2 linked regions of the Canis lupus familiaris genome follow. The protein of the gene in region 2 purifies or fractionates together with the protein of the main gene of each other region. This does not show direct contact. Links are inferred from orthologs where the notes say so. Each region holds a gene or a part of one and is shown on either strand. Other genes may lie near its edges. The genes, in order: UBE3A and TXNL1.

Region 1 (4,288 bases), on a different chromosome or scaffold from region 2:
AAAGGGAATTCATAGGTAGTGAGAATGAAAATAACGTAAAAGATAACATGGTAAGAGTTCACTGTGTGTAAGGTGAGAATAATATTAAGAACAAAAAAACGGTGTTTCAGGAAGATTTCAAATGATAATACTTATTGAGGGCTGAAGTGTCAGACATTTTACGAACTCTAATCCTTGAAACTGAGTTAGTTTCACCACCCCATTTTACAGATGACAAAACTGCAGCTCACCAAGACTAAGTAACTTTCTAAGATCAAACAAGTAAGGTTGAGCCCAGAAGTAAAAATGGAATCTAATTCCAAAGCTATCTTCCCTGTATACATTATAATGTCTGAATTTATCTTTTCATTTGCAGTGGGGGCAGAGCAGGGAATGTCAAAATCAGCCAAAACTCTGTTATCCCGAATTATCCTAAAAAGAGAAAACTTGTCTTCACTCATAAAAAAAATCAAAAAACTAATTTCTTAACAGATACCTATGTACTTAATGTAATGTCCCTGTTTTGACCAATACTAGTTTAGATATAAACAAAAATGTGCAACATGACAAGTACATAACCAATAATCATTTAAGAAAATAAACATCTGTAAATATTTCAAGTGTTTGGGTTGAAAAATTTAGATATGATGCATAGTTTTGGATTATTCCACTGACTGCTTATTTGAAATGGCAAATCATTTCAGATGTGTGGGGTGATTTTTTTTTTTTCTTTTTTGGAGGGGAGAGAGGAGTACCACTTTAAAAATGATCTAAAGTTTAAGAAATACAACTGATTAAATGTTAAAATCCAATTTTAAATACCCAATAAACCTTATTACATGAGCTGGGCAAGTGGGATGAGAATGTGTCTTCCTCACACTTCTAATAAGCATACTTAAGAAGGTATTTTTTTAAGCCATGAAAAAAATGTACAATTTCAGAGAAGTAAAACAAAAACAGCTTACAAAACCCCTGAAAAGGAACCAAAACATTGTAATATTGTAATTTACTCTGTAAAGTCCTCAAGAACTAGGCAATGTCCAGACAACAGTGTACATAATACTTAGCATACTAGATAATATATATTGATACAAGACTTCCTTAGTTTCCAGTCCCATTCTTGTAAGGAGAAGGTCATTATTTCTTGAATTTATTTCTTGCTTTTGTTGTCATGATTATTAGTTTCTTTAAAAGGCTTCAGGTTCATTCTTTGGTCTTATCAGCATCATCGTGAATATTGTATTCATTTTATTACAAATGTGATAACCCGATTTATAAGCACCATCTACCTCTAAAATTATTTCTATATATATCATGACAAAATTATACTTTTATCTTTCTAAATTCTAAATTTTTACATGGCTTACACAATAATCTGAGTACTTATTAGTCAGAGATTATGAATAAACACTTCTTATCCTTCTTGTCTAATTCACTCAAGATATTTATTGGGTATCCACAGTGACTCTGACAGGTAACTTTTTAACAGTTATACTTCCAAACTCTAGGTCCTTTCCATTTCAGGCCCTTTTCTTCCCCCCAGAATATTCTGGAATAATTTCCTGCTTCTTTCAATATTGCAGGCAGTGGAATTCTCCAAAATTATGGGTCATATCCATATTCCCCTCATATTTACGGAGGGTAACTATGGACTGTAAATCCCATATTACTATTCTTTTACATTTCAACAGCACCCTAGCCACTTAATAAATAGAATCCCAGACAGATTTAGTAATGTTTCTATTTTAGTATGCCCACTGGTCGTTTTTAAAAATTCAGAGACTAAATTATCTTTGAAGGAGTCTAAGTCTACATTAAAATCATTTCTAACAATTTTATTGATTAAAGCATTTGCCACGTTCAATTCTCACTTTACCAACAAAACCTCCACGCCATGACGAAGAAAGAGTCCTTTTCATTTTCTCAACTGAAAAGGGAAAGTAAAAAATGCCAACTGTTTGCAGGTTTGCATTTAAGGGAATTTCTGGCAAACCCGGTAACTCACGTTTAACATGAAAACGCGGATAATCTGTGGACGCGACCCGGGGCTCGATTTCCCACTTCATCCGCCCTCCCCCCCAACCCCACCCCCGCCACCGTCCACCCCCAAATCCCAACCCACCGCAGCGCCAGGCTCAGCATTTTTCACCCACGGGGCCGAGCCCTCAAGAAAAACTCTCCCCTCGGGAGGAGAGGGCCGGCCCTACCAGCCCGGCTCCGGCCTGCTCCGCGAGCCCTTCCACCGAGGCCAACTCTCGACGCCCTGCACGCCCCGCCCCGGGCCCGCTCGCGTCCCCTCCGGCCACACCACCCTCCCTCCGGCCCTCGGCCAGGACTGACAGTTACGGAGGCAGCCGCCGCCGCCGCCGCCACCGCCACCAGAGGCCTAGTCCTGGCAGCAGCCGCCCCCCCCCCCCCACCGCCGCGCGGTCCGGGGGCCTCCCACCCTCCCTCCCAGGCCCCGGAAGGCGGCTCGGCGACACGGACGACGTCGGGAACGGCCCCCGGCCACACTGACCTGCGGTCGCCCCCGCGCCCGGGCCGTGGCCCTCGCAGCCGCGGCTGCCTCACTGGTCGCAGTAGCCTTCGCTCGCCGCCTCCGCCCGCCACCGCCTCGTTCCCTGTCGCTGCCGCCACCGCCGGGGCTCATGCGGGACCCGCGCTTCCTTCTCCGGAGACGGAGGCCGGGAAAGGGGGCGCCGGGGCCGCAAGAGAACCCGAGCTCGCCGCCAGCCGCCGCCTGTCCGCGCTGGGGAGCTGCGGGGCCCGCCGAGCCGGGGCTGGGCTGCGGACTGCTCCGAGCGCGACCCCGAGACGCGCCGAGGGAGGCGCCGCCGCCCGCTGCCCGAAGCGTTGGGTCCGCAAGATGAAGCCCAAGTCCGAGGCGGCGGCGGAAGGCGAGCGCGCAGGCCGGCGGATGGCTAAGTGGCAGCGGGGTGCGTGAGCGGGAGGAAGGCGGTGTGTCGAGGTTCCGGCGAAGGGGATTCAGGCTCTGTCGTCTACTGCCAGTCACCCCGAACCCAGCGCCACCATCTTGGAAAAAAACGCGGATCTCGCGGCCGCAGCGCAAGCCGGGAGGACTGGCTGGGCGGGCCGAGTATCCCAGCAGGCAGCGCGCGCCGCCCGGCCGGGCGAGAGCTCCGGGCCGGGACGCAGCGACGTGAGGCGGGGCTGGGGTGCGCGCGGGCGGGCGCAGCGCTGTGCCCCGCCCTCTCACGCCGGCTCCGCCCCCTGCCTTCTTGCCGTCGTCGCCCGCGCAGGGCCTGCTGGGAAGGGGAAGTGGCTCGGGGCTCCCTGGAGTCCTACCAGGGCTGGTCGCCATCTTGGGACGAGGCAGAGGAGTTCGTGTTTCCATGGAGCCACCTCTGTCTGTGGTGGCTCTATCCCCGCGGAAAGAAGGGGGTAACGCCGGGAGCCCCCTGGAGCCCCTGGGAGGGCTGGACGGCCCCCTGGTATACCCAAGTCCAGGGACGTGCTAGGACATAAACGCTCCCGATGTTAACCGGGATGGGTCCGCCGGGGGGCGGGGGCTGTGATGGCTTCCAGCCCCGCATAGCGGGGCCGACGCCTCCGGACACCGGGCCTTCGATCTCAGCCCCTTCCCGTCAGGCGGCAGCTGTAGGTCCTGCTGTGGTACCCCGAGAGCGTGAGCCACCTTCAGGGGACAAGGTCATCTGCTTGGGCCTCCCGCCGACACAATGTCATCACTGTAGTCGAAGGTGAAAGCCCATCCCTTGGCAGGTTGTTAGGAGATGGTGGCCTCGTGGTCCACACCAGCCGGGGGGATGCTGATTCCATCCCCGTGACAATTGAAGCCACTTAAAGCCATGCGTCTTCATACTATCAAGGTCACCTTTTTATTTAAAAGGGCTTATTTTATGGCTCTGCGACACTTAGCAAAGCTGTAGTGGGATCACTAACAAACAGTATTCCTAATGGCTTACGACTTCGCTAAGCCCCGAAATACTATATAGATCCCATTCATCTGATACTCAATTTTTTTTAAATCAACAGTCTTACATAGCACTGTATTTAACTGCCATTCTTAGAACATTATAAGTCAGATATATGGATACGGCTTCCCAATTATAACCTGTAAAAAAAAAAAAAAAAAAAAAAAAAAACGTAAAAAATAAGCTAGTGGAATTTAAATTATCCCAGAACAATTAATGATAAATGACAGTATTAAATCATGTCCGATTTTTAACTCGGTTCCTTACTCTTTTTTTCATTTTCTCCCATTAACAGATCCTCATTTGAAAACAATTTGCAGTTGTATTTAATGGGATAGTTAAAATCGTAATCTTTT
Region 2 (3,820 bases):
TTGATCAAGGTAGTACTACGCTACTTCCTCTGTGACAACACAGGGAAGTACTGGGAAGTACACAGAGATTTACATCTAGGAGCGAGGACCAGATACACAGGGAGTGCTCCTCTAATTAGTCTCTATTTCTCAGGTACAAATTCATTTGGGTGGGGTAAAAAACAAAATATGGAAGACAGGTCAAGAATGAATATAAGGACTTAAGGTGGTGAACGCTCAATTCATTAGTGGGGCCATTCCAAAATTCTGAGATTCTGTGTAATGCACCTGGCAGTTTGCATAGAACAGAGAAAGGAGGTGGGTCTACACCATCAAAGAAACGGAAACTTACAAAAAGGAAAAGAAGTGGTCATCTGAGGAGAAACACAAAACAATGAGATGGAAACATAATAAAGAACCCAGAGCAGGCATAAATATTGATGATCCCTACAAGCTTTAATTTAAGTATTCAATTACCTGTTCATCACAATCAGATTCCAAGAAGGTCATATCTTTTCGTAAACAGTTGTCAAATCCATGCTCATCACTTTCATTAAGGCATTCACAGCCAGCTTTGTTAATAAAAGGCATTAAATCCATCTGAAAAAAGTAAACCAAGACTTTAGGCAAAGCACTTGGATTTGGTCTAACAATCTAACCAAAATGTAAATACACGATTCTCTCTAGAGTAGGCAATTTTAAAGAAAATTTCTCTTTTAAAATAGTTACTAAAATTTTTACAATAATCCCTTCATTTCAAATTCTGAAATGAAGGGATTATTCATTTCTATCACTATTAAAGCCAAATCTAGGTTTAGCCCACTTGATAAAGTATCAAAAACTAAGTTTTTAACATGAAGATTATAAAATGTTGGCTTGTACTTTTTTATTAACAGTGATTTGCTGTGCAAAATATGCAAATTAAAATATCCATAAGATCCAAAGAAAGCCGACCTCCCTCTTCTAGTGGTCATGTACTCCTTAAACCTATATCCATAAACAGTTTACATTTAAGATAAATAACAAATAAGGATTAGAACACTTGTTATTATGGAAAATTTCAAACATATATAAATAAATAACACAGTGAACCTCTCGTACTCACCTCCCAGTTACAATAATCAACTCATGGCCACTCATATTTCATCTTTACACCGCAAGCAGGCCCTATCCCCTCCTCCCATTTTCAAATAAATCTTAGACATGTCTTCATTTCATTCATGAACATTTCAGTGTATTCATGAACATTTCTAAGAGATAAGGACTCTAAAACAAATCCTCAATATTATTATAACTAAACCGAGTTAATACTTTAGTCATTAACAGATTTCCATGTTCACATTTCTTCAGTTGTCTCATAAATGTTTTACAGTTGGAAATAAGAGTTCAAAAAACGTACACTGTATTTGGTTAATGTCTCTCAAATCTCCTTTCATCTATGGTCATTTAGCATCTATAGATTTCTAATATTCTGGATTGTGCTGACTGCTTCCCCATGGCATCATTTAACATTTTCCTATCTCCCGCGTATGTGTTGGTGGGTAGTCCTACACCACACCGGAGTTCTGACAGTGGTCATCCCTTCTCCTGGCTTTAATGAGTGTGCCTCTGGTGCTCTCTCATGAAGATTTTATTGATTGCTTTTGGAATAAATGGGTAATGAATTCTGTCAAATGCTTTTTCTGCATATTAGGAGATCAGAATCTTTCTCTAGATCACTGAATTTTGTTTACTAATATTTTCAGAACTTCAAAACAACTGTTCCTAATTGTAACTCATCGGTAGCTTTTTTTGGTGCAAACGTCAAATTCTGGGATCAATGTCATATTTATTTAAAAAAATTTAAAAGTTTTCCCTCTTTATATATAGTCTTCGAAAGTTGGAATAACACTAGACTATCTGATCTTTAAAGATTTGGTAAAATTTCCCTATGAAGTTCCCTTGACCCTGATGGTAGAGGTCTCTAACTACTTTCTCTATTTCCTCTATGGTGATTGGTCTATTTAGGAGTTCTGCTTATAATGGAACTGATTTTGATAAACCCTTTTTTCTAGAAAAGTATCCATTTCATCTACTAAACAAGGACGAATTTTGAAGTTTACCAAGTACTACAGATTATCATTTACACATTCACCTATCACAACGAGTGCTCTATTTTTTTATACAGATACTAATGCATATGTATATCATTCTGAAAGAGTGTATACCATTCTAAGGAAAGCTTTTTAATGTCAAATAATTATGTCAGGTCATTATTATCAATATGGTAAGAATCCATTAGTATAGATCCTTAATTATTCATGGAGTGACCTAAATGCTTTTAAAGCCAAAATGTTATTTTGAATTTATTAAATGTTACGCTGTAGATGTTAACCCTATTGCTCAGGGTAACACACTGTAGCCAATTTAAAAGCAGCGGGGTGGAGGAGCAGTGGAGGGATAAAGTAGCACTGTAAAGCAAAGTGCCATTCTAGAATTACTCTAAACTTTAAGAACATTTGCCTTGAAAGGGTAGTTTAGACAAATCTTTTAAACACATTTTCCATTCTACCAAGATACCTCTTCAATATTATATCTAGGATTAAGACCCCAAGCATGAAGACAACATTGCAGTCATAGTATCTTAATGATGAAAAATAAACTAGGTGACTTAAAGTTGTTTTAACATTTACTTATCGTGGGACACACAAAACAAGTATCACCAACACATGCATTAAAGTGCTTTGTTATACAACACTCTCTGGGACAAACTGGCATTATATCTGACCTAACTGCAAATTGACATATTCTAGAAATATGCCATTGGAAATAAATAAATACACTACCTATGGAATCAGCTTGCCAATGAGAAAATAATGAGAAAACAATCAGACAAATCCAGATTGTGGGACATTCTAGAAGACAGATGGTCTCAACCTGCGCTGTACAATAAGATAGCCATTAGCCACATGTGGCAATTTAAAATTAAATTAATTAAAAATAGATAAAAGTTAAAATTTGGGGTCTCAGTTGCACTAGGCATGTAACAAATGCATAATAGAGACATGTACCTAGTGGCTACTCTATTAGAGTGGTATTGGTTTAAACTTTCAAAAAAAGGCAGTCATGAACAAAAGAAAAAAAAAAGGAGACAGAAGTTTCCAGAACACTAAAGAGAACAACTTAAGTGCAATGAATGATCCTTGACTTGATCCTAGATGGAGGAAAAAGAGGTATAAAAAATATTCTGGAGGAGCACCTCGGTGCCTCAGTCAGTTAAGCTCTTGCCTTCAGCTCAGGTCATGATCCAGGGGTCCTGGATCACTTATAGGGGCTCCCTGCTCAGCGGTGAGTCTGCTTCTCCCTCTCCCTCTGCCCCTCTCTCCACTTGTGTTCTCGCTCTCTCTCTCTCTCCCTCTCAAATAAATAAAATCTTAAAATAAAAAAAAGAATATTCCAGAGATAATTAAGAAAATGTAAACATAGGCTATAAGTATTCTGTACCACTGTTAAATTCCTTAGGAGTGACAATGCTATCATGGTCATGTAAATGAATGTTCTTGTTCTTAGAAGCTACAGGCTAATAAAATATTTAGAGATGAACCAACATATTTTGTCCACAGTTTCTTTTAAATGATTCTGCAGAAGGTAGAAGTCTATAAGTAAATATTAAGAAAGCAAAAATAGCAAAATATTCACAACTGATGAAACACAGGTGAATGGCATATGTGTTTGTTGTACTACTGCTCTGTCAAGTGTGTTTTAATAAATTTCATTGTTCTTTTTTGGAGGGGGAAAATCTAACATAAGACACACACAGGAAGTCAGAAAAACCTTTCCATGCTTCCAGTTTGGGTTAATG

What was found.
Region 1: the proteins of TXNL1 (region 2) and UBE3A purify together in Homo sapiens (affinity purification with mass spectrometry; 3 studies listed by BioGRID and IntAct, with this or other methods). This does not show direct contact. The link is inferred for Canis lupus familiaris from reciprocal best matches to the Homo sapiens genes TXNL1 and UBE3A.

What each region holds. Positions count from the first base shown.
Region 1 is NC_049224.1:35,646,694-35,650,981, reverse strand, and holds the start of UBE3A (ubiquitin-protein ligase E3A), read right to left. Parts: upstream 3,017-4,288; 5' UTR 2,498-3,016; intron 1-2,497. UniProt on the Homo sapiens protein: E3 ubiquitin-protein ligase which accepts ubiquitin from an E2 ubiquitin-conjugating enzyme in the form of a thioester and transfers it to its substrates.
Region 2 is NC_049222.1:19,294,159-19,297,978, reverse strand, and holds part of TXNL1 (thioredoxin-like protein 1), read right to left. Parts: intron 580-3,820; coding exon 457-579; intron 1-456. UniProt on the Homo sapiens protein: Active thioredoxin with a redox potential of about -250 mV.